4 linked regions of the Schizosaccharomyces pombe genome follow. The protein of the gene in region 1 binds, or shares a complex with, the protein of each later gene. Each region holds a gene or a part of one and is shown in the gene's direction. Other genes may lie near its edges.

What was found.
Region 2: nup131 (region 1) and seh1 share a complex: the UniProt entries of both Schizosaccharomyces pombe proteins name them as parts of the npc107-120 complex.
Region 3: nup131 (region 1) and nup120 share a complex: the UniProt entries of both Schizosaccharomyces pombe proteins name them as parts of the npc107-120 complex.
Region 4: nup131 (region 1) and nup107 share a complex: the UniProt entries of both Schizosaccharomyces pombe proteins name them as parts of the npc107-120 complex.

The regions. Positions count from the first base shown.
Region 1 is NC_003423.3:972,507-978,592, reverse strand, and holds nup131 (nucleoporin, WD repeat Nup131), read left to right. Parts: upstream 1-1,746; 5' UTR 1,747-1,960; coding exon 1,961-3,421; intron 3,422-3,455; coding exon 3,456-3,549; intron 3,550-3,590; coding exon 3,591-3,976; exon of another isoform or gene 3,977-4,015; coding exon 4,016-4,370; exon of another isoform or gene 4,371-4,411; coding exon 4,412-5,544; 3' UTR 5,545-5,571; downstream 5,572-6,086. Other genes in the region: ilv1 (acetolactate synthase catalytic subunit), read right to left, coding at 1-1,484. UniProt on the Schizosaccharomyces pombe protein: Functions as a component of the nuclear pore complex (NPC).
Region 2 is NC_003424.3:2,397,415-2,401,221, forward strand, and holds seh1 (GATOR2-SEACAT complex WD repeat subunit Seh1), read left to right. Parts: upstream 1-1,994; 5' UTR 1,995-2,006; coding exon 2,007-2,073; exon of another isoform or gene 2,074-2,114; coding exon 2,115-3,048; intron 3,049-3,102; coding exon 3,103-3,121; 3' UTR 3,122-3,305; downstream 3,306-3,807. Other genes in the region: glm1 (glomulin), read right to left, coding at 36-409, 465-774; nuclear import protein Nxt2, read right to left, coding at 3,546-3,653, 3,732-3,807. UniProt on the Schizosaccharomyces pombe protein: Functions as a component of the nuclear pore complex (NPC).
Region 3 is NC_003423.3:4,014,719-4,020,643, reverse strand, and holds nup120 (nucleoporin, WD repeat Nup120), read left to right. Parts: upstream 1-1,793; 5' UTR 1,794-1,876; coding exon 1,877-5,287; 3' UTR 5,288-5,418; downstream 5,419-5,925. Other genes in the region: Fe-sulfur protein Isa2, read right to left, coding at 1-335; Sre1 cleavage-activating protein Scap Scp1, read left to right, coding at 5,869-5,925. UniProt on the Schizosaccharomyces pombe protein: Functions as a component of the nuclear pore complex (NPC).
Region 4 is NC_003423.3:438,471-443,738, reverse strand, and holds nup107 (nucleoporin Nup107), read left to right. Parts: upstream 1-1,735; 5' UTR 1,736-1,763; coding exon 1,764-1,823; intron 1,824-1,898; coding exon 1,899-1,946; intron 1,947-1,987; coding exon 1,988-2,021; intron 2,022-2,071; coding exon 2,072-2,198; intron 2,199-2,254; coding exon 2,255-2,347; intron 2,348-2,401; coding exon 2,402-2,510; intron 2,511-2,551; coding exon 2,552-4,465; 3' UTR 4,466-4,740; downstream 4,741-5,268. Other genes in the region: branched chain amino acid aminotransferase Eca39, read left to right, coding at 1-1,108; rhp1602 (DNA translocase Rhp16b), read left to right, coding at 4,962-5,268. UniProt on the Schizosaccharomyces pombe protein: Functions as a component of the nuclear pore complex (NPC).

The DNA.
Region 1 (6,086 bases):
ACACCGGTGGTAATAGTGACTTTGTCCTTTATGTCAGAAGTTTGTTTGTCAAGTTCTTGAATGACTTCTTGAGGCTTTACCAATTCACCAGGAGCGCTACGAGTGAAAGTGAAAGGGAAGCGTTCCTTCCATGTTTGAATTTGAGATAACCAGTCAAATCGGGAAGGAATTTTAATATTTTTAGTAGCAGAATCTAAAAGCTTTAGAGATTCGTATACATCGCCCTCTATTGCTTCAGTAGGTTGTACGACCTTACCGATATTTTTGGGTGAAATATCAAAGTGAATAATACCGCCACGCTCTTCGGCAGCAGCAAGACGTGCTTGAGGAGCAAACAAACTTACGTTACCGGTGACACGGTCGTCAAAGCGAACACCAAGAGCAAGGATAAGATCGGCTTCCTGCATGGCCATATTAGCGTATCCACTACCATGCATACCGAGCATATGCAAACTAAGGTCAGAACGTTCATCTACAGCACCAAGTCCAAGCAAAGAAGTAGTAACAGGAATTTGCAGCCTTTCGCTAAACTTGCGTAACAAAGTGGGGCATTCGGGATTAGCTAAAACACCATGCCCACAGAAAATCACAGGCTTCTTGGCTAATTTTAGTAAATTGGCAACACGATCGATCTTGGCAGTAACGTTCTTGGAGCCCTCTTCTAAGACTTCCTTCATTCTGCGATTCATTGATGGTACAGAAGACAGTATAGGAATGGGCTCCTTCAAAACGCTAGCAGTGACATCTTTGGGAAGGTCAACCAATACAGGGCCAGGGCGTCCAGAAGTAGCTATCTCAAAAGCTTCGTCTATACGACGGGGAAGATCAGCAACATCTTTGACCATTACATTCCATTTAGTACATGAACGAGAAATACCAACCATGTCAGCTTCTTGAAATGCATCACTACCAATTGCGCTGGTTGCTACTTGACCAGAGAATACAACTAGGGGAGTACCGTCGGCCAATGCATCAGCAATCGGGGTAATCACATTCGTAGCACCGGGTCCAGAAGTAACCAATACAACGCCGGGTTTTTTAGTAACGCGGGAATAAGCTTGGGCTGCATGTCCAGCAGCTTGCTCGTGTCTTGGCAAGATAAATTCAAAATGAGGAGATCTATAAATTGCATCGAAGACAGGCAAGATAGCACCACCTGGATAACCAAATACATGCTTAACATTATGCTTGAGCATCATATCATGGAAAATTTCACCCCCAGTCTTTCCAACAAACGAGCTGTCATATTTTATAGGACTAGCCGTAGTCACTGTAGAGGTGCTTTTGGTCGAATTTGCCCGAACGACACCGAATGCATTTTTTAATTTTTTAATTCTCAAATTATTACTAAAGCCGGTGCCATACCTCCGCACAGCTGAGCAACTATTTAAATTTAAAAATCTCTTTTGAAGGGCAATTTCTCGTCCATAAGACGAGAAAGCCGCCCTCGTATGCAATCTTCTAAGGGGAGCCAGCACAGTCATTATAAATAACTTTTAACCCTCAATTCCTTTCTAGAAAGAGCTATCTTTCAAGTTGCAAAAGATCGGTATGCTGAGCGGTATGAGAAGTGAGCAGGTTCATTTTTGCCTAAAAACATTGGTTGTTCACCACCACAAAAAAGATCAGATTTGTTAACGATAAGTACTGTACCCCGGAGATTAAATATACCGATGCATAATACTATACCCTTTGAAGTCGTGTTATTATTCTTTAAAAAGTTCAGATGATGTAGGAATACAATTTATCTATTTATCCATGTCTCCTTAATTTTTTAAACATTAGTAAATGCTGGAAAACGTCAAATAAATTTTTCTTGATCCTAAATTATAAGTTTCCTATCGATTCAGCTTAGAAAATCGTCAGAATTATCTTTGAGCATAATCTGTTTAACACGTAAGAGATCTTAGATACTTTCGCTTTTTTAAACATTAGTGAGCCTCTTATTAGAGGAATTGCAATGTTTATTGTACATCGACGGTTTTTTCAAAATGAAAAAGCTTTTACGCCTGCAGGAAAACATGAAAAAGTTGCCGACGGAAACAAACATGAGACATTAGCTACTTCAGAATACCCGAAAGTCTGTGCATCAAATGACTTGTACAAAATACTCCAAATATCTGCTCCTAAGGTTGGCAATTTTACAATCCATGATGCGCCAGTTGTTGGACTAATTGACTCTATTTTGGAATATTATTTGTATATTAGTGTCAAAGTTCGAAAGGCATGGATTGCTGGTTATGGAAGTCAGCCCCAAAACTTAATATGCTTTGATTGGGAACGTTTTACGGGTATTCTAGATCAGCAGAGTCTAAATAGCCCACCGTTAGCTGGATTTGTTAAGCCAGATCCAACATCAGCAGAGCCTGGCTTTTTACTTTTGTGGCCTGCTTCGGGCGACCTTTTCTACTGGGAAAGAACTTCTTTGATGAACGTTGAGGTTTCTGCTCCCGAATTTCCTGGTTTTCTTCATTACAGGATTCAACTAAAACGATATGAAAGCTGTAAAAATTTGGTTAGTGCTGAGCCTGCTGGCTTTTTCCTTACTCTGAGTTCAGGTCGGTTGCTTCATCTGAATTTAAAAGATAGCGATGGCAATTCCTCTATTCAGGTTCGAATCCTATTTCCTGGATTGCACATCCCCAACTGCTTGCTGTCGTTATACAACAGTATCTTTGCATTTACTTCAGGAAGAGTTATTCCAATACGTTGTGGTTCAATAAAAGGACCTGGTGAGAGATTAGTTTATTCTATGCATTCTGGAAGCACATTGCGAATTTGGGAAATATTCGGGACTGGTGATCACCACTTGTTACGTGGTTTTGACATTTATGATATAATTTTAGATAGTATTCAGGAATCCTTTTCCTACGTAAATCGATTTCTAATCCTTGATTTTTCTGTTTCAACCTCGGATCCTTATACGTTAGCTTGTTTGGTTTCCTGGCGTGATAATGCTTCATTATTCAATTATGCTGCAATCATTATTTCTTTCAACCATCAGATGATACCTCATGTTTCACAATTCTGCCATGTACGCTCATATCTTTCTGCAATTCTTCCATCAGTGTGTCGAATATTTTTACCAAGTCCAGGTACAGTTGTTTTTTGCGTCTTCGATGTCACTTTTGCTATGTTTCATAAAGTGCGAGGGAAAGAAGGCACTTTTTATGTCGAAGAAAACCTGGTTGTGAACAACCTAACTTCCAAATCTCGGGTTTTGGATTTTGGCATGGAAGATGCGATATATGAAAAATCTACGCACACCTTACTAAAAACTCCAGCATTGATCTTGTTAACAGAAGGGCATGGTATAATCCGAATTGAATCTTCTGCTAGCTACCTGAAAACCAGCTTTAGTGCAACCACCTATTTACGAAGTCGTCTCTCCCAGTTTGCATCGCAAAGCCCTTTGTTCCGTGTAAGTTGTTAATTCTTTCGTATCTAACATATAGGAACAATTTTTGTTAAATTTTGACTTTACATACAACCTCTCTGAAAGCGAAGTCTATAATACAGTCTTTAATCTTTGTGATGAACTTTATACGAGTAAGATAATTTTTTCATGATATATTACTAATTGCAATCAGCGCCATGTAAAAAAAATATGTCTGTATTAGAAACACTACATTCTCAGCAACGTGACTTGATGGAAATAGTTCTTGTTGCCTTCAAATACCTACATTTATCTCCTTCTAATAGACTTCAATTATGGCTAAAAGTTGCCTATTGCAGTGCTTTGGCAGACCTATATGAATTATTGATGTGTAATGAAAAAATGTCTAACTTGCTTCGACGAGTATTGAAAATAATGTCTTCAAATGATAATATTGATGAACTTTTTTTGAAAAAGTGCCTGAATATAAATTTGTTATTACAGCATTTAAGCTCGGAATATTCTCAAATATCTGGCCAAGATGCTAGCAACGCACAAAAAAGAATTGAAGTAATAGTAAATGTTAATAACGTTTATGGGGTATGTTTCTTATAAAATAACGAGGTTTACTAATATTAGACTATCTTTGGAAATGAGCTTGCTTATAGGCAAGAAAAAATATCAAAATTTACTGATCCATCCTCTGTGATTAGAAGCGACCTTTGGACAGTTGAAGTTGATCACTTAGATTTACTACGAAAACAGATCGAAGATTCGATATCATTGCATCGCGATGTACGTGACTCGAAAGATGCACACATATTAAAAGTCAGTAACAAGCTTCGGAAGCAGATTTTGCATCTGGTGGAACAAAATTGCCTTTTGATCTTTGATTTGCACAATGGAACAGATGATACCATAGTAAAATCGCATAATTTTCAAAAATTTGAAGAAGAATTTGGCAATTCACGAAAAGAATGGTTACAATATTTAGGTAAGCTGTTTCTCACTTTCTTGTTTCCGCTAACAAAGAAGCTTCTGTCGGATATTTGGAAAAGGCAATCGACTTGGCGGAAAAAGTTAAAGACTTTCAGACAATGGTAATTTTGCTGGATTGTCTAGATCCAAAGGATCCTACCATTAAGCTTCAAAAGCAAAAAGCATGCTTAAATAAATACAAAGAAGAATTCGCAGATGTAATTTTTTTTTATTTGGTTGATACAGAGCAGTATGCGTCTTTGCTTCATGATTTCTTGGAGTATCAATCACTTTTAATATCTTTTTTTGAAGCCAATGATTTATTGAATCTTTTGTGGATATTTGAAGCTCAAAATGGAAATTATGGACGAGCCTCCGAAATTCTTTTCCGTGATTGTGAACCAGAAGAAAACAGGATTATCGGTAAAATTTCGCAGTTAGCTCTAGCAAAGCTCTACTCATGGACTAATAGAATTGAAGGTGAAAATATCATATTGTCAAATGAGACTGAGGTGATTGAAAATCATTTAGCCATTTTGCTTATTCAAGAGCAATATGCTGAAATGCTTTCATCACTTGTGGATATTACAGAAGACGAGGGAGAAGCTGTCGAAGCAATAGTAACTTCCAATTGTGTAAATCTATCAGAAAACTCTATCAGAGCCTGGCTCGTGTCTAGTGCTGTTGAGCGATTAATTCAAAACGAATACACTACGCTTTGTGAGATGGTAGATTTCTTTTCTTCTTTTTCATTACGGGAATGTTCATTCAAAGAAGTTGATTTGGCCTTAGAGTTATTAGAAAGAGCTACAATCACTAAGGACGTGTATTTTTACTTAAAAGATCTCGTATATCGCCGTTTTCTATTACAGGTGAACTGGGCAGAAATCATCGATGCGCATGAAGATTTAGAATCTTCATTTTTTCCAATGGTAAAGGAAATTATGTTAGAATCAGACTTTTTAATATGGTTACAACATATGGAACACAATATTCACGACGAAAGTAAACATTACTTGAAATCGGAAAAAAATTTTTTGCAAAGTGTATATTCTTCACTTTCTGAGTCGCAAGTGGAAGATTATCAAATGGAGCTTTTTCGTGAAAAGCAAATTTTCTCAGTACTATGTAAAGATAGAGAGTTATACATTCTGATTCCGAAACTTCTGGACGTAGCAACAAAACAATGAAATGAAATTTTGCTATATATTACTTTACATTTCCTCAGTAATCGATAAACACCTGTTTAAACCTAGTACTACTTATGTTTGTATAATCTATCGTATAGCCTCAGCTCCGACAACTCCGTTTTTACGATGGTAGATGCTAGATAATCACTGGTTAGAATATTTACGGCTTAAAATAATTAAATTTTTTTATTATAGATTCTTGATTTATTATGATGATTGCGCCTTCGGGGCTTTTTCCCTGTCCTGGATAGCCTCACCCTTACGTTGGAAATTAAGCTAAGGCCTAGTGTGTTGCATCCAAGTACACCTTACAACTAACGTCCACTAAAACACTCAAACCACATAATCATTTGTTAGTCGAAAGAAAGCCTGTAACTTCTATTAAATTATAGTAATTGGTTTTCTAAATTTTGTTGTTTTTGGTCGGCTACTGAATCGCAATTGGACTTCAATCTCTGTGGTGAATGCAGTGAAAACAAACTGAGATTTGTGTGGCATTTGTTAGTGAGGCTACAAATTGACTACATAAAAACTGCATAGTC
Region 2 (3,807 bases), on another chromosome or scaffold:
ACACGGTATCTTCTCTAAAAGGCATTGCAGTGGTGTCAAGTAGTACCATTAAGGTTGGATCTTTCGTTGGCATAATTCCAAAGATCTTCATCTTTTAGTCCCAAAGGTCCCATTGTCATGACATTAGTGCCTTTTGCGGTATGCCACACGATAACATGAGGAGGGTCATTTGTATTACTAAGTTCCCATAAGTATGACAGTATGCTTTTTATTTTCTTTTGGATATCGGGGTCATGGACAGTAAAAATTGAGCATTTGCCAAGTTTTCTTCTCCATATACTAAATAAGCAAAGAACTTTGTATTTATCTTCTCCAGATATGTGTATAAGGGGACTCAAGCCCATGCTATCAAAAATTAAATATTGGCTCCATGCTTCATGAATTGAATCTTTTCCTTTAAAATTATGAACTACAGCTGTTAAAATTTAAGAAAACAAAGTGTCATTATCCTATTTTTGACGCACCGTTTGATTGTTTATCATTATTCCTTATAAACACCTTAATTTCCACATTGTTACATTTAGAACCCTTTAGTAATGAAAACTTTCTGTTTTTAGGTACCTTATTAGTTTTCAAACTCAAAAAATTTCGCAATGTCTTAAATAAGCCTTTGCCATCCTTATGAAAACTTTTTTTATGCCCTATTTTGCTGTCTGATACGCTTGAGTATAACGTTTTTGTATCAGATGAACCCTCCCAGTCATTATAATCATCCTCTTCAACTGTACGTAGACGATCCAAGTAGTTATCCGAGAACGGCCTGATTTGTTCCATTTCTGGCCTTGATCGAACTAACTCAGATTAGCGAGTAAGGGATAGGCTTTGTTTTTTATTTTTAGAAAAGGGTCGTTTTACAATACTCAATATAATCAAAATTCCGTAGAGTCAAAATGGCATTGCCAATTGACATTCAGTGTATAAAAAATAAAAAAAATTGAAAAATTTCCCATTTAAAAGATATACTATACTTGTGGCACTGACGTGCAATTACAATCATTATTACTTGTACATGACTTGCCTATTAAGTCCTGAAGTATTGTAGTATAATAACACACATGAGACAAGAACATATTATGGGTCACAAAAGTCATTTTGAAATCTGTGATAATCTGCAAATACAAAACTGAAAAGAATTGACTGGTAGTGTCACTATTTTGTTAAACACTGACTGCATTTAATAAATAGACAAGCTTATAAATTCAAAAAACCAACACTTTAATGATATCAATGTTACTACTATCGTTTGTCTCTTTGCAAAATCAAATAAAATGTTTTTATGAATTTTTTTGCTAATTTTGATTACGGCTCCTCAGCATTTTATTGTGAAGTTCTTATTTTACAAAAAAAGTATTAACATTATATATGCATATTTTTTAATGGGGGACTAATATTTTCAAATTACCTACTTCAGTTTTGCATTAATTAAATCAATAATTTTATCAAAAGATTTTGTACCTTAAACAAAATATCAATAATACTTTTAACTATACTGAAACCATTAAAAAAAGCACATAATTTCATATTTGTAAATGAAGGTAATTAATAACTAACTATTGACTGAGGTATACATACCACTAACAACTAAATAATTTAGTAGTCCGGAAGACTATTTGTATAGTACTTGAAACTTTCATTTCATTTTTTAAACGTCAATGAACATATTAGATTATTATCGTTTTGGCTTACCAAATCACTTCAGGTGAAATAACGTCAATGTGGTATACAAATTTGTTATTACCATCTATTAAGAATGAACTGAGTGAAGATTATGTGCAGTAGATATTTGCTGACTATTTTAGTCGTTTTGTATATTCTTTACTATGATTGTCGCCTTCGATGAGTTAACTTGTCGGACCGAAAGTTAAGCATGCGAAAAGTCTTCTTTACAAAAAATTTACTTCTTTCATTTTTTCTAGACTTACCCTCTTTTTTTTTGCGCTGATACCGATAATTTACATATAAAATCTTTTGGCCCTTCTTTACTAGCTCACCTCGTCTCTACCAACATGGATGATATTTCGGCTACTACGATTCAAACAAATCACCAAGATTTAGTGAATGATGTTACATACGGTAAGGAAATATTATTTTAGATTTTGTAGCTAATTGTCAAGACTTTTATGGCCGTCGAATGGTATCATGTTCAGCTGATCAACGAGTCAAGGTTTACGATTTTAATGATGATACTGAAACATGGGCAATCACTTCTGAATGGAGGGCAGGAGATGCTAGTCTAATGAGGGTTGCTTGGGCTCATCCTTCATTTGGTCAAGTGCTAGCTGTCTGCAGTTTAGACAGAGGGGTTCGGATCTATGAGGAACAAAAAAAGAACTTTGAATCCAAGACATGGGTTGAAGTTGCAAAATTAATGGATGCTCGTAGCGCCGTATTAGACATATCATTTTGCCCTTTTCAACATGGTTGCAAATTAGCAGCAGTTTCGGCGGATGCTACTTTACGGATTTATGAGGCCATGGAACCCGGTAATTTAACGTATTGGACTTTAATGAATGAAATTGCTTTAATGCCGTCCCCTCCTTCGCGCAACGAGCAACCAGCGTTTTGTGTAAATTGGTGCCCATCACGTTGGCGAGAACAGTACATTGCTGTTGGATGCATGAATGATGCTTACATTTACAAGCAGAACTCTCATGGAAAATGGAAAAAAGTTGCTGAGTTACCCGGACATACAGATCTTATTCGTGATATTTGCTGGGCTCCGAGTATGGGCAGTAGTTATTACCTGATAGCTACTGCATGCAAAGATGGGAATGTTCGTATTTTTAAAGTTGAAACCCTTTGCGAAGAAGTATTTCAAGAGGAAGAAGATGCTGGAAATTCAATGACAGAAGACTCAAATTTCAATCTAAATTCTTTGAAGGTGGAACTCATTGGTGAATATGATAACCATAAATGTCAAGTGTGGAGATGCCGTTTTAATGTGACAGGAACTATTTTGAGCAGCTCGGGCGATGATGGGTGCGTTCGTTTATGGAAAGCGTCCTATGCAAATTTATTTAAATGCATATCTGTCGTTTCTTTAGAAAAGTAAGTTCAGAGATGCTTTCGGCCTCATGAATATATGATACTAACTTGTGACAGAAAACCTGAAAAATTGTGATTTACTTAGTTCAATTTTAATGTAACAGATACATTGAATGGCCGACCTTGCTTGGTTTCCTTTCTTAAATTATTTCATATTTACCAGCTAGATCATAACCAAATTGTAAAAAAGGAGATATTACTTTATAAATTTTTGGTTTTAATTTATAATTTTAGACAAGTGAACTAACATTCGCTTTGAGATTAAATTTTCATTTAGCGTAAAACTTCGAAATTAGACTAAGTCTTAATGTAAACTTTTAGGTAGAGTTCAATTCGAAAATTTGTTTTAACGAACTAAACAAGCGATGGGTTCAAAAAGCTATATCTGCTACAGGTTGTAGTTTGAAAATCCGGTAATCGCTACAAAAGCATAAAAAAAAAGAAAATGAAATTGCAGATAATCAAGATACTTGTATTAAATATTTTCACTATGATATTCTTCAACCATAGTTCAAACGAAACAGGTCATTTAAGACATAGTAGTTACCATTATTGTTAACAAGGTGAAAAACTTGGCTATAGCGCTGGGCCATTTGCTCTTCATCCAACTACAAAAAGGTTAAAAAAAGAGCAAAGCAAAAAAAAAAAAAATGAATAGAATAAGTAACATCAATCTTATAACTTACCAAAAGCTCACCTGTAACCATAACGATTACGGATCCAGTAGTACCAGTAGGTTGAGCATCCAAAGTTGAGATGCGG
Region 3 (5,925 bases), 3.0 Mb from region 1:
GCAATTTTTTCTAACTGTTTTTTCGCTGAATCTTTCACGTATAAAATAAAAGGGATTCCCTTCTCGTCACATTGCTCTTGAAGCGTGAATTGGTCGTTCGCAAGCTTTGAGCTATAAAATCGATTTTTGATTTTGAATTCATTATTTATTTTGGGAAATATTTCTTTCGTTAATGTATTCGATTTCGCATCAATTCTACATGATCGAGAATTTCTAAGCGATCCATGCGATAGCTGTCGAATTGCGATCACAGGATTTAAGAGTGTTTGAAAACAACGTTCTCGAAAGAAAAATGGTCCTTTAAACAATAAGTTTACTCGCGATTTCATAAGCATCACTGCAAAGTATTATAGCCACAAGTTAGGACTTTCTAACTTGTAAACATACAGTAACGTAATAGAAGTCAAATTGCCTACGCTCTGTTTCGTTAATTCAGTATATTCCAAATTGGTGCTTATGTTTATGAGATAGAGAAGTTAAGTACATAAATGAAATAGTCATAACTTGACGAGTGTGTCATAGACTAAAGTCAAATTCAGGGATTTACCTATTAGTTAACACCCAATCTCTAAGAGATTTATATCGGATAGATTGAATTCGAACTTACAAAACTCTCACACCCATAGCTAGTAGAGAATAAGGGGAATTTATCAAATATATCTAGAATTATTTAATGTTCTTTTTTACTTATGTTGTATGCTACTAAATTTTGTGATGATTTATAGTCAAAATTAATATCTTTGGATTATTTTTACCTTTTGGTACTCCTACTCCTTTAATTCTCTTTCAGTTTTAAATGAATAGATTTTTAGCTATTAGAGATAATTTCAACCCATTTGGTTAATTCTTCTTCTGGATATTTATTGTCGATCCTTTAATTCTAGCATAGACCGGTGGATCACATCCAGAAAATGTCTTTATCACAATTGATGCCATTGCTACAATCTTCTACTTTAGCTAATTCTTTATCGTGATACCAGTGTATGTACTACCGCTTAATTACTATAAAGTTGCGGGTGTTCGTACAAGCACATATCACCGCAATTGTAATATTGAATCAGGTATAAGAGATCTTGGCTATTAGACTTAGAATTGGTTGTATCTGCAATAAAAAAAATAAATTATAAATTGCATGCCAATGAACAATAATTCACCCTTGCACGTAATTAATATTTATTAAAATGTAATTTACAATTTAACGTATGGTTGAAAATATTACATGTTTTATTTACTAAGAATTTGCAAAATTTAAAAATAAACAAAACTAGAAAATTAGAAAACTATTTTATTAAAAAAGATTGAAAGGCTGTAAATTAAGACCCTAAAGATGAGTACTGTTAATTTAAATAGATTTAATCTCTTAAAACAACAGCTAAAAAGTTACAGGTATACAAAAAATAATAAAAAAAACTAACAATAATCTAAGAAAGGCTTCTGATATCTTGAAGATCTTTTACTGTTGTATGTAATTTCACAAATAAAATAGAGAATCCATTTAAGCTCTTGAGTTTTAAATGAATATTTGATTCCTTTTTTATTATTATGAATACAAAGGAATTGCTCGATTAATAAAAACTATCAAATTGTTTAGCTTTCTTCATCCACAATCAAATGATTCTATTTTATTAAGGAACTTAATCTTCAAGAAGAAAATTCAGTTTTACATTCCATCTCCCTCTACCCTAAAAAGCTAAAGAATTACAAATATACTCGTATTTACGCGTTTCTCATAAATTCGTTGTAGGACTGGCCTGTCTTACGCTAACTCGTGTAGGTCGTTGTCTACGATACTCAACCAGAACTGCCCCCTATTGTTAGCTATTTGTTTGGTATTTCTACTGGTATTACCGCTACCAGTAAAAAATAAAATCAAAATATGAATGAATTAAAGCATGCGGTAGTTCCGATAGACTTACAATCTTTTTGTCTGGAAGGAACTTTGGCGTTGTGGGTTCCAGCTCTCGAAAACGACTCGGAAGACGATTCTGAAGCTATAGAAACAGCTGATGATAATGAAAAACTTTTTAAAAAGGAATGTGTAGCATATGATGCAGGTGTTTATACCTCAAATAAAAGCAAAGGTTCACAAACTTTACGATGGAGTATATTCCAAAACAGAACACTCACTATCTTTGATGTTTCATTAAATTCTAAGAAGGAGCCTTTATCAAAATTTAATGTGAAAATTCATTTTCCATCCAACGTAATGAAGGACGGTGTAGCTTTCTCGTTCAGTGAGCATTCCGACACGACCATTATATATGCTATTACTCACGCTCGCGTTTTGTATTATATTAGATTATCTAAAACTTGGTTCCAATTACCGGACGCTCGCTTAGACGACGATTGGTGTCTTTGTTACCGACCAATATCCTTTCTGAATCAAAAACCCGATTTAATGGCCGCAATTAGCACGTCTGAAATTTGTGTAAGCTTTTTCAATGGAGGTTTAACAAAGATTATATTAAATCCAAAAGACGCTAGTCACTACGAACAGCATATTGATGATTCTAGTTATTTGTTTTCCCTAAAAAAATATCTATCACTTCAGGCATTTAAGGCAGATTACCGCTCTCCTAATACTATTATTTCAATGATTTTTTTGTCTACCTATAATGTTCTTGTGATGCTATCGCTTGACTATAAGTTAAAAGTTTTGGATTTGTCTACTAATCAATGCGTCGAAACCATTGAACTGTCACAGACTATACTTCCTCTACAATCCTTTCCTTATTTAACTTCAGATCACACCACTAATTCTTTCATCGCTCTGTATTACCCAGATAATTCTCATGGCTCTTTTTCAATTTACAAACTTAACGCAAACGCCCACTCTTTTAAATTAAATGTTGTCATCGAGAAGGGCATAATTCCTCCTTCTTTACCAGACGATGAGTTCATACCATGGATGCTTTCTGATTTTCAACTGATATCGTCAGAGGGCTCTCAATCTAAATTTTTGCTCATTATTGCTTGGAAAAGCAACTTAAATACCGTTATCCAAAAATGCAACCTTAGTCTAGATCAGGACGAGAGTTTTTCATGCGTTTGGAGTCACTCTTTGGATAGCTTTTCCCTCATAGAAAAAACCTTTTTTGACGTTCCAACAAACATGTCGTCTGGGGATATCTCAGAGATTTGGCTACAACACATTTTTGCACATAATACATCTATTGAGTCTATACAAGTTGCTCTTTTAAGCTTTCAAAACAGCTCCTCGCAAGTTTCAAAAAATAAACTGGATAAATTTGGCGCACTTACTATAAGTGAACTTAAAAATGCCGTTTTGTCGTCTATAGTTTCAACGATCCAAATAGAGCCAAATTCAGATTTAACTGGATACGATTATTATGAATATAAGCGGCTATTATATAATGAATGGGAAAGGTTTGCGAAACTTGTTGCATATCTGGATCATTTTGGAGATGAAATATTAAGTATTAACTTCGATCCTTCGAACGCTGTTACATATATCAATTATGCAAATAAAGTGGCTTTTATTAGGGATCCTTATCTCATTGAATCCTTTGACGAAGAGCCGTTGACCAAATTAATTAGTTCCCTTGAAACAGATGATCCTTCTCTAATTGAAGGTTATCAAATTCTGGATCTTGGTAGGAGTTTACATTCCTGTATGTCATTTTCTACTTTATCTGAAATTAGATACTCATTACGAGAACTAGTCCAGGATTTGCCATCTTATTCTTTATTTGATACATTGTGGGTATTTTATGACAAGCACATATATCCCAACGTCGATCCAGATTATATCAGTACTTTAATTGATACTCTAGTTTCTCTTGAAAACCCGATGCGCGACATTGATTCTCTTATCCAACGCTTAAGAAGTTTCGATATTTACAACCATTCCGCTCAATCCCCTTCCTTATTTTTGTGTGCATCGGTAGCACGGGTTTTGGACAGTATTTTGAAAAAGTTTCAAGTCTCTATTGAAGGATTTATTTTTCTACTTTCTTTGATAACTAGCCAGCAGGATTATGAGTTACAATCCAAATTTGCAGGATGTGATAAATTATTTCTTTCTTTACTAGAAGATTGGCGTCTTGTGAGTTTTCTTTTAGAGAATTCTGCACTTTTGCTAGAAAAATTTGAGGAGGAGGATGTTGATTCAACAAACTGTAATTTAAATACTATGGAAGCTTTAGCAAGTGTTAACACAGCCCTTCAGTTTTTTTCCGCTTTGAATTATTCCGAATGTTTCTCAGAAAGCCAAATTTCACCTTTACATGCTACCGTGATATCGTCTTTGTCGGCAATCTTTATAAGGGACGATACGGAAAATGATCTGGTCACTGAACTTGTAGAAAAGTTGTTTCTATTCAAACAATATAATGCATGTATGCAATTAATAGGGTGGCTTAACTCTGACCCAATTGCAGTCTACTTGAAAGCACTTATTTATCTCAAATCGAAAGAAGCTGTTAAGGCTGTCCGATGTTTCAAGACTACTTCTCTAGTCCTTTACTCACATACTTCTCAATTCGCAGTTTTACGGGAGTTTCAAGAAATTGCTGAAAAATACCACCATCAGAACCTATTATCGTGTTATTACCTTCATCTATCAAAAAAGCTGTTCGAGGAGAGTGCATATATAGATGCATTAGAATTTTCTTTATTAGCAGATGCCTCGAAAGAGACTGACGACGAAGATTTGTCTATTGCAATTACCCATGAGACTTTAAAAACCGCTTGTGCAGCAGGAAAGTTTGACGCTGCTCACGTTGCATTGATGGTTTTATCCACTACGCCTTTGAAAAAGTCATGTTTACTAGACTTTGTAAATCAATTAACGAAACAAGGTAAAATAAATCAGCTTCTAAATTATTCAATGCCAACGTTAAGACAGGACGTCGACAATTTGCTTGAGCGAAAGGCCTTTCAAATGATTAACGTTGAATCACAACCATGCTGGTATAATATTTTGTTTAGTTGGCGGTATAAACATCAAAACTATCGAGACGCAGCAGCAATTATTTATGAAAAACTGAGCCGGTATATCTCTACTACAGAATTAATTGGAAAAAAGGAGAGAACTTTTATAATAGAACATTATTTGATTGTTTTGAACACTCTGGAGTTGCTTCCGAAAGAAGATACATGGATTCTTGTGACAGACATGTCCGTGGACAAGGAACCTGACCCTAACTTTCTTCCACAAAAATTACTTACTCTAGATGCAATTGTAGCAGAATATCACTTACAGTTGAAGGATGTCGCTGTTCAAGTTACAGCTGAAATGTCATCGGCCATGAATATCGATTTATAAAGGCAACAAAGAATTATTTACGCAGCTTAACCTTCTCATTTAGAAAAATCCAGAAAAAAAGCAATATGCTTGGCAGAGTTTTAGTAATTAAATCATCTTTAGTTTCATTGAGGCGATGGGTAGCCATAAATAACTAACTTCTTTCTATAAAATTAAATTCTGAATATAAATATACTTTCGATAGCATTGGTATTTACATATCTTTAACGAATTATAATTCCGACCTTTTTGCTGCAGCTTGCCGCAGTTTGCTAATTAGTGTTGTCCGTTGGGAAATATTGTTGAGATACGGCTAGTATCGGCAGAATGTTGGAACCAACAATAATTATATATTTGAATTTTTATTTCCTTATTTTATAACATTTTTTTGAAACTTTTGGTTTCAGATTAAATAATTCTCTATTAATAATAGTGTACGGAAATTGCACGCCGTGTGCCCGAATTTAAATTTGTCGGGTCCCGAAGGAATGTACAAAACACCAAGACCTGCGAAAACTGATTCTCAGTGAATTGGGTATATCGGTCTTGTAAAGATCTAATTAATGAACGTTTACCAATGTTATTGAACTGAAAATATCGTTATGAGGATTTTTACTCTTGGAAAAGGCCGAATTTCACGAGGGTATGCTCGGCAAGTT
Region 4 (5,268 bases), 530 kb from region 1:
CATGGATAGCTCCCATATAAAAGTTACTAATGTTAAGGAGCTTAAACCTTTGCCCGAATGGAAGAGTTTGAAGTTTGGTGAGAATTTTACTGATCATATGCTTATTATGAAATGGAACAGAGAAAAGGGTTGGAGTACTCCTGAGATCGTTCCATTTGGTAAACTTTGCTTTCACCCTGCTTCCTCCGTTTTCCATTATGGTTTTGAGTGCTTTGAAGGCATGAAAGCTTTCCGTGACGAAAAGGGTGTCCCACGTCTTTTCCGTCCCATCAAGAATGCTGAGCGTATGCTTTCAACTGGTACTCGTATATCTCTTCCTTCCTTCGACCCTGCTGAGCTTGCTGAAATTATCAGAAAGTTCGTCGCTCACGAAAACCGTTGGGTCCCTGATCAGCGTGGTTACTCTTTGTACATTCGTCCTACTTTCATTGGTACTGATGAAGCCTTAGGTGTCCACCATTGTGACAACGCTATGCTTTATGTTATTGCCTCTCCCGTTGGCCCCTACTACAGCTCTGGTTTCAAGGCCGTTAAGCTTTGTTGCTCCGAAGAATCCGTTCGTGCTTGGCCTGGCGGTACTGGTCACTACAAGCTTGGTGGTAACTATGCTCCTAGTGTTTTGCCTCAAAAAGAGGCTGCCAAGAAGGGGTATGCTCAGATTCTCTGGCTTTATGGAGACGAGGACTACATTACTGAGGTTGGTACTATGAACTGCTTTACTGTTTGGATTAACAAGAATGGCGAAAAAGAAATCATTACTGCCCCTCTTGACGGTATGATCTTACCTGGTGTCACTCGTGATTCTATTTTGGAAATTTGCCGTGAACGTCTCGCACCTAAAGGCTGGAAGATTACTGAGGGCAAGTATTCCATGAAAGAGGTTGCTCAAGCTTCTAAGGAAGGTCGCCTTTTGGAAGTCTTTGGAGCTGGTACTGCTGCCCTTGTTTCCCCCGTCAAGGCTATTAACTACAAGGGTACTGAGTATGAAATTCCCATGCCTGAGGGTCAGGAAGCTGGTCCCATCACTTCTGAAATCAGCAAATGGATTTTGGATATCCAATACGGCAAGGAACCTAACAACCCTTGGAGCGTTCCTGCTTTGCCTTAAATTTAATTCTCAAAAAATACCTAACTATGTCTGTCTTTAGACATTTATGATATTAGGTGTCCATAATTATTACATATAGACCTTTCGAGGGTTAATCCCTTTTATCTTTGTTGGTTTCTCTGATTCGTGTTACTTTTCCTTTTCAATTCTTTTATTGATAACATTACAGAAGGATAGTCTTCTTGTATATAAATTTGTAAATCAATCGGAGTATTTATGAATTGTTCAATACTAGCGTAAACATCAATTAGTGTTATTCTACAGATATATTAAATTTATTCAATACACATCGTTTATTATTCATTTAGGCTAGTAAAGTGTAAAAATGTAATAGTAAATAAAATTATCTAAGCTACATGGTAAATGAGAGAAAAGTAATTGATTGGGCTCGACATTTGATCGTGGAAACAGTTAGTTCCATTCTACTAGTGTGCAGAGTTGACAAGAAAATTCATGGACTTAATAAATTTTATGTCTTTTCTCGAAATAAAGAAGTAGTAGATAAACAAATGAATATAAATATGTAAAAAAAAGAAAATAGTATGCATATAACTGAAATATAGCATTAGAATTGGTCTGTTGAAATTACATTGCTTGGATGGCTTGTTGCTGCTATAGTACGATCTTAACCCATACGAGGTTGGATTTCAAAACCATGCATCAGAATGCATTGAATAATGCTACTCTGAATGTCCTTGGACACAAAAAAAATGGAGTAAGTTAATAATAAGATTTTAACCCTTATTGTCAATTTCTACTGCTTGGAACACAGAAGTACTAACATACGAAGAGTTCTAGTATTCAAGAACTAATTGAAATGGACGAAGAAGAGGCCGAGGTTTGTTATTAAATAAATTTAACATTATTTTAACCATTTAGATGAATCAAAATGTCGTTTGCATAGGCCCAAATGGTATAAAGCTTATCACGTACAAGTAAAGTATATATCTAACTATGGTACAGAAACCGCCGTAAGCGTTGAACTTGGAGACGAATACGAAAAGTTTAATATAATCACTTCTTTAAAGAAAGACAATTTATTCTCAAAGGATGGGCTGCTATATGCATACTATGAGTTGTGTCAGGAAAAGTATGGTTACCGTTCTGTACTTTGACTTGAATGAACACTTGTATTAACATAAATAGATTTGAAAAATGTTTGAAAGAAGATGATGAAGAATGGATAGAGTTATGGGATTTAGAATCTCGTACATGGGACCTAATACAACGTCTTTACTCGTATGTTCGTTTCGCTGCCATTCGTTTAACTTGGTTTTTAACAACTTTTACTAGGTTTCGATTATCTGAACAACAAGGGCATATTCAGTCGCATGCCTTTTCGTCTCGTGCCGTTTTAGAAGAGGAATATTACTCTCAAAATCCCGAGGCATTCGAGAATAATGTACGTATTTTTTTTATTATATGTTTGTTAATATTCTATAGATCGTATTCAATTGGGCTCGTGATAATTCCTCCGATCCTCCTTCAATTGAAATTCGAGGAAACCGATGGTTTTATACAAGAGAGGATATAAAAATGAAAAACCGAGGTGGTTCTAGGTTTTCTTCCAACATCTCAGGTACGATTGTTTCCAATCTCGATCCTGATGCAGATATACGAGACGACAAACGTTTAGACGAACGAGATGATAACTTTGAACGCCAGTTTTTTCATACTGCATTCTGCTTATTTCGTTCGGGAAGCTTTGAAGAACTATTAGAGCTGTGTAGGAGAACTGGTAATCATTGGCGTTCTGCTTCACTTCAAGGAATTTTGGAGTATAGAGATAACCTCATCGACGATGTTTTGCAATCCGAGACTTCCGGTAATAAAAGAAAGGAACTCTTGCGCAGATCATGTTTAGCACTTACAAAAAATAAACGGATAGACTCTTATGAACGCGCTCTTTATGGCGCTTTATGTGGAGACTTGAACTCCGTCCTTGATGTGTGCACAACTTGGGAGGATGCGATGTGGGCTTATTATAATAGTATGACTCAGTACAATTTGGATGTTTATCTTTCTTCTAAGGCTCCTCAAACAGAAACACAATTGCCTCCAGTGGATAGTGGTTTAGGCTTAACTCCCGAATTGATTTTTAATTCGCTGAGTAACAGCTCTATTGCTTCAATCCAAGAAGAAGCATCACATCCCCTAATTAAACTTCAAACTCATATCATTTGTAATAAAATTTCGGAAATTTTGAGCTCTGCTCACATACAGTTGGAAGCAATTCGGACTGGAAATGCCCCTGAGTCTGGGGATTTGGTTACACCTCCTCTTCTTCGAATACTGACACACATAATTTTATTTTTGAAGATTTCAGGTCTTGCTGTGGATGAATATACTTCTGACTCTATTATCCAAGCGTATATTGAGTTATTGGCTAGTGCTAAAAAAGTTAACTTGGTTCCATTGTATATTCAGTACCTATCAAATCAAGTGCAGTACGAGGCTTATTCTCGATTCCTTATTCTTGTTGATGAAGAAAGTGCAAGATCAGAACAACTTCAATTAGCAAAAAAATATTCATTAGATATTAATCATGCGGCGTTACTAGCTGTTGAATATGTGTATGATGAAGTTGTCTCTGTTTCTCCCGAAGAAGTTCACACAGTATATTTAAAATCTATTGAGGAGCCAGTTGAACCATCTTATAAAAAGCTCATCTGCACCCTTGAATGGTTATTAATCACTTCACAGACAGATGAGCTGCTCCGATTTGCAAACCTTGTATATCGTTTCTTTTTAAGCATTGGCGAGCTAAATAGTGCATACGATCTTTATACACATATTCCCTCTGATGCTTTGAATACGCTAAGCTCTAGCGATGGTGAACCCGAAAACGATTCTAAGTTTAGAGATGCGTATGAACTGATGAACTATCGAGCTCTCTGCAGAGCACTTAAATTTTATCAAGAATGGGAAGAGCTTTCTAAACAAGAAGTATTTGAAGATTCTGCAGTTACGAAAGCTAGCACTTCTTATAAAGTTTGGAAAAAAAAATTGAATTTTGCCTCTCGTAAATGTGTAAAGTCCTTCACAGACTTACTTCAAGCTAACTGGCTTCACCCGTCTACATTGGAGCTGAAACCAGATGATGATCCTTTGCTTTATAAAACTCTTATGACTATTCGGAATTTGTATGTGCCTGAACTAATTCTCGGTTTGCATAATGTTTATTTTAGCCTTGAGGACTATGATAGCTGTTTTGCTCTGGCTAACGAAGTTGCCAGTGAAGATTTAAAACTTTACCATTGTCTTATTAAAAGTGGCAGACTGGTTGAATATGTTTCTTATTTAGGAAAGGCCGGAGAATGTAGCCTTTCAACCCCTAATGGGCTTTTTTCTTTATAAGTGTCAATGTATAAGAGATTCAATTCGAAAACTAATAGTGATGCTGCAAATGTGGTATCATCTTCGCATTGATAACCAGTTTATCTTAATACGTTGATTTTAAAACTAAGCTGAAAAACTTCCATAACTTTTGACTATTTCTAATATAAATTTTTTTTTCCAAAAAGTTAGACTATGAACTAAATCCAGAATTGCAGACACTTTGTTGCAAACATTCTTATAAAATTGTTTGAAAGTTCGGTTAATTAGGACCATTGCGCAAGTTCTTAAATCCTATAGTCGATTTGAGCAGTCTTTACAAATTTCGACTCGAAAACTGTGTTAGTGGATATATTGTGTAGGGTTTACTTTTATACTCAAAAAAACATTAAAGTAAGCAAATAGAAATATTTGAGTTCTTGACACCAATCTTCACTTAGTAAGAACCCATCGTATACAAGCTATTTCTACTACCACTGAATGTTCACGTTCAGTGCAATTTGCTTGAGGGAGCTTGATGGAAAAAGCGTCTAAAAATAAGGAAAGTGGGGTTAAAAAAGCGAATAACTCTTTTTTACAAAATTTCGGTGTAAATACAGCAGGGAAAGAAAATGAATCTACTTCATTACCAAGGTTGCCCAAAAGCGAAGATGAATCCATCCCAAAACAATCTATAAAATCTAAGAATAAAAAGAAAACCCAACATTTTCTTTCTGATGCTTTTGAAAGCTTAAAGAGACAGGAGATAGATACAAACGAAAAGGAAGTAATCGTCTCCGCGCCTATAACTAGTAAACCAGCTCAGGTTTTTTATAGTAAAAAAT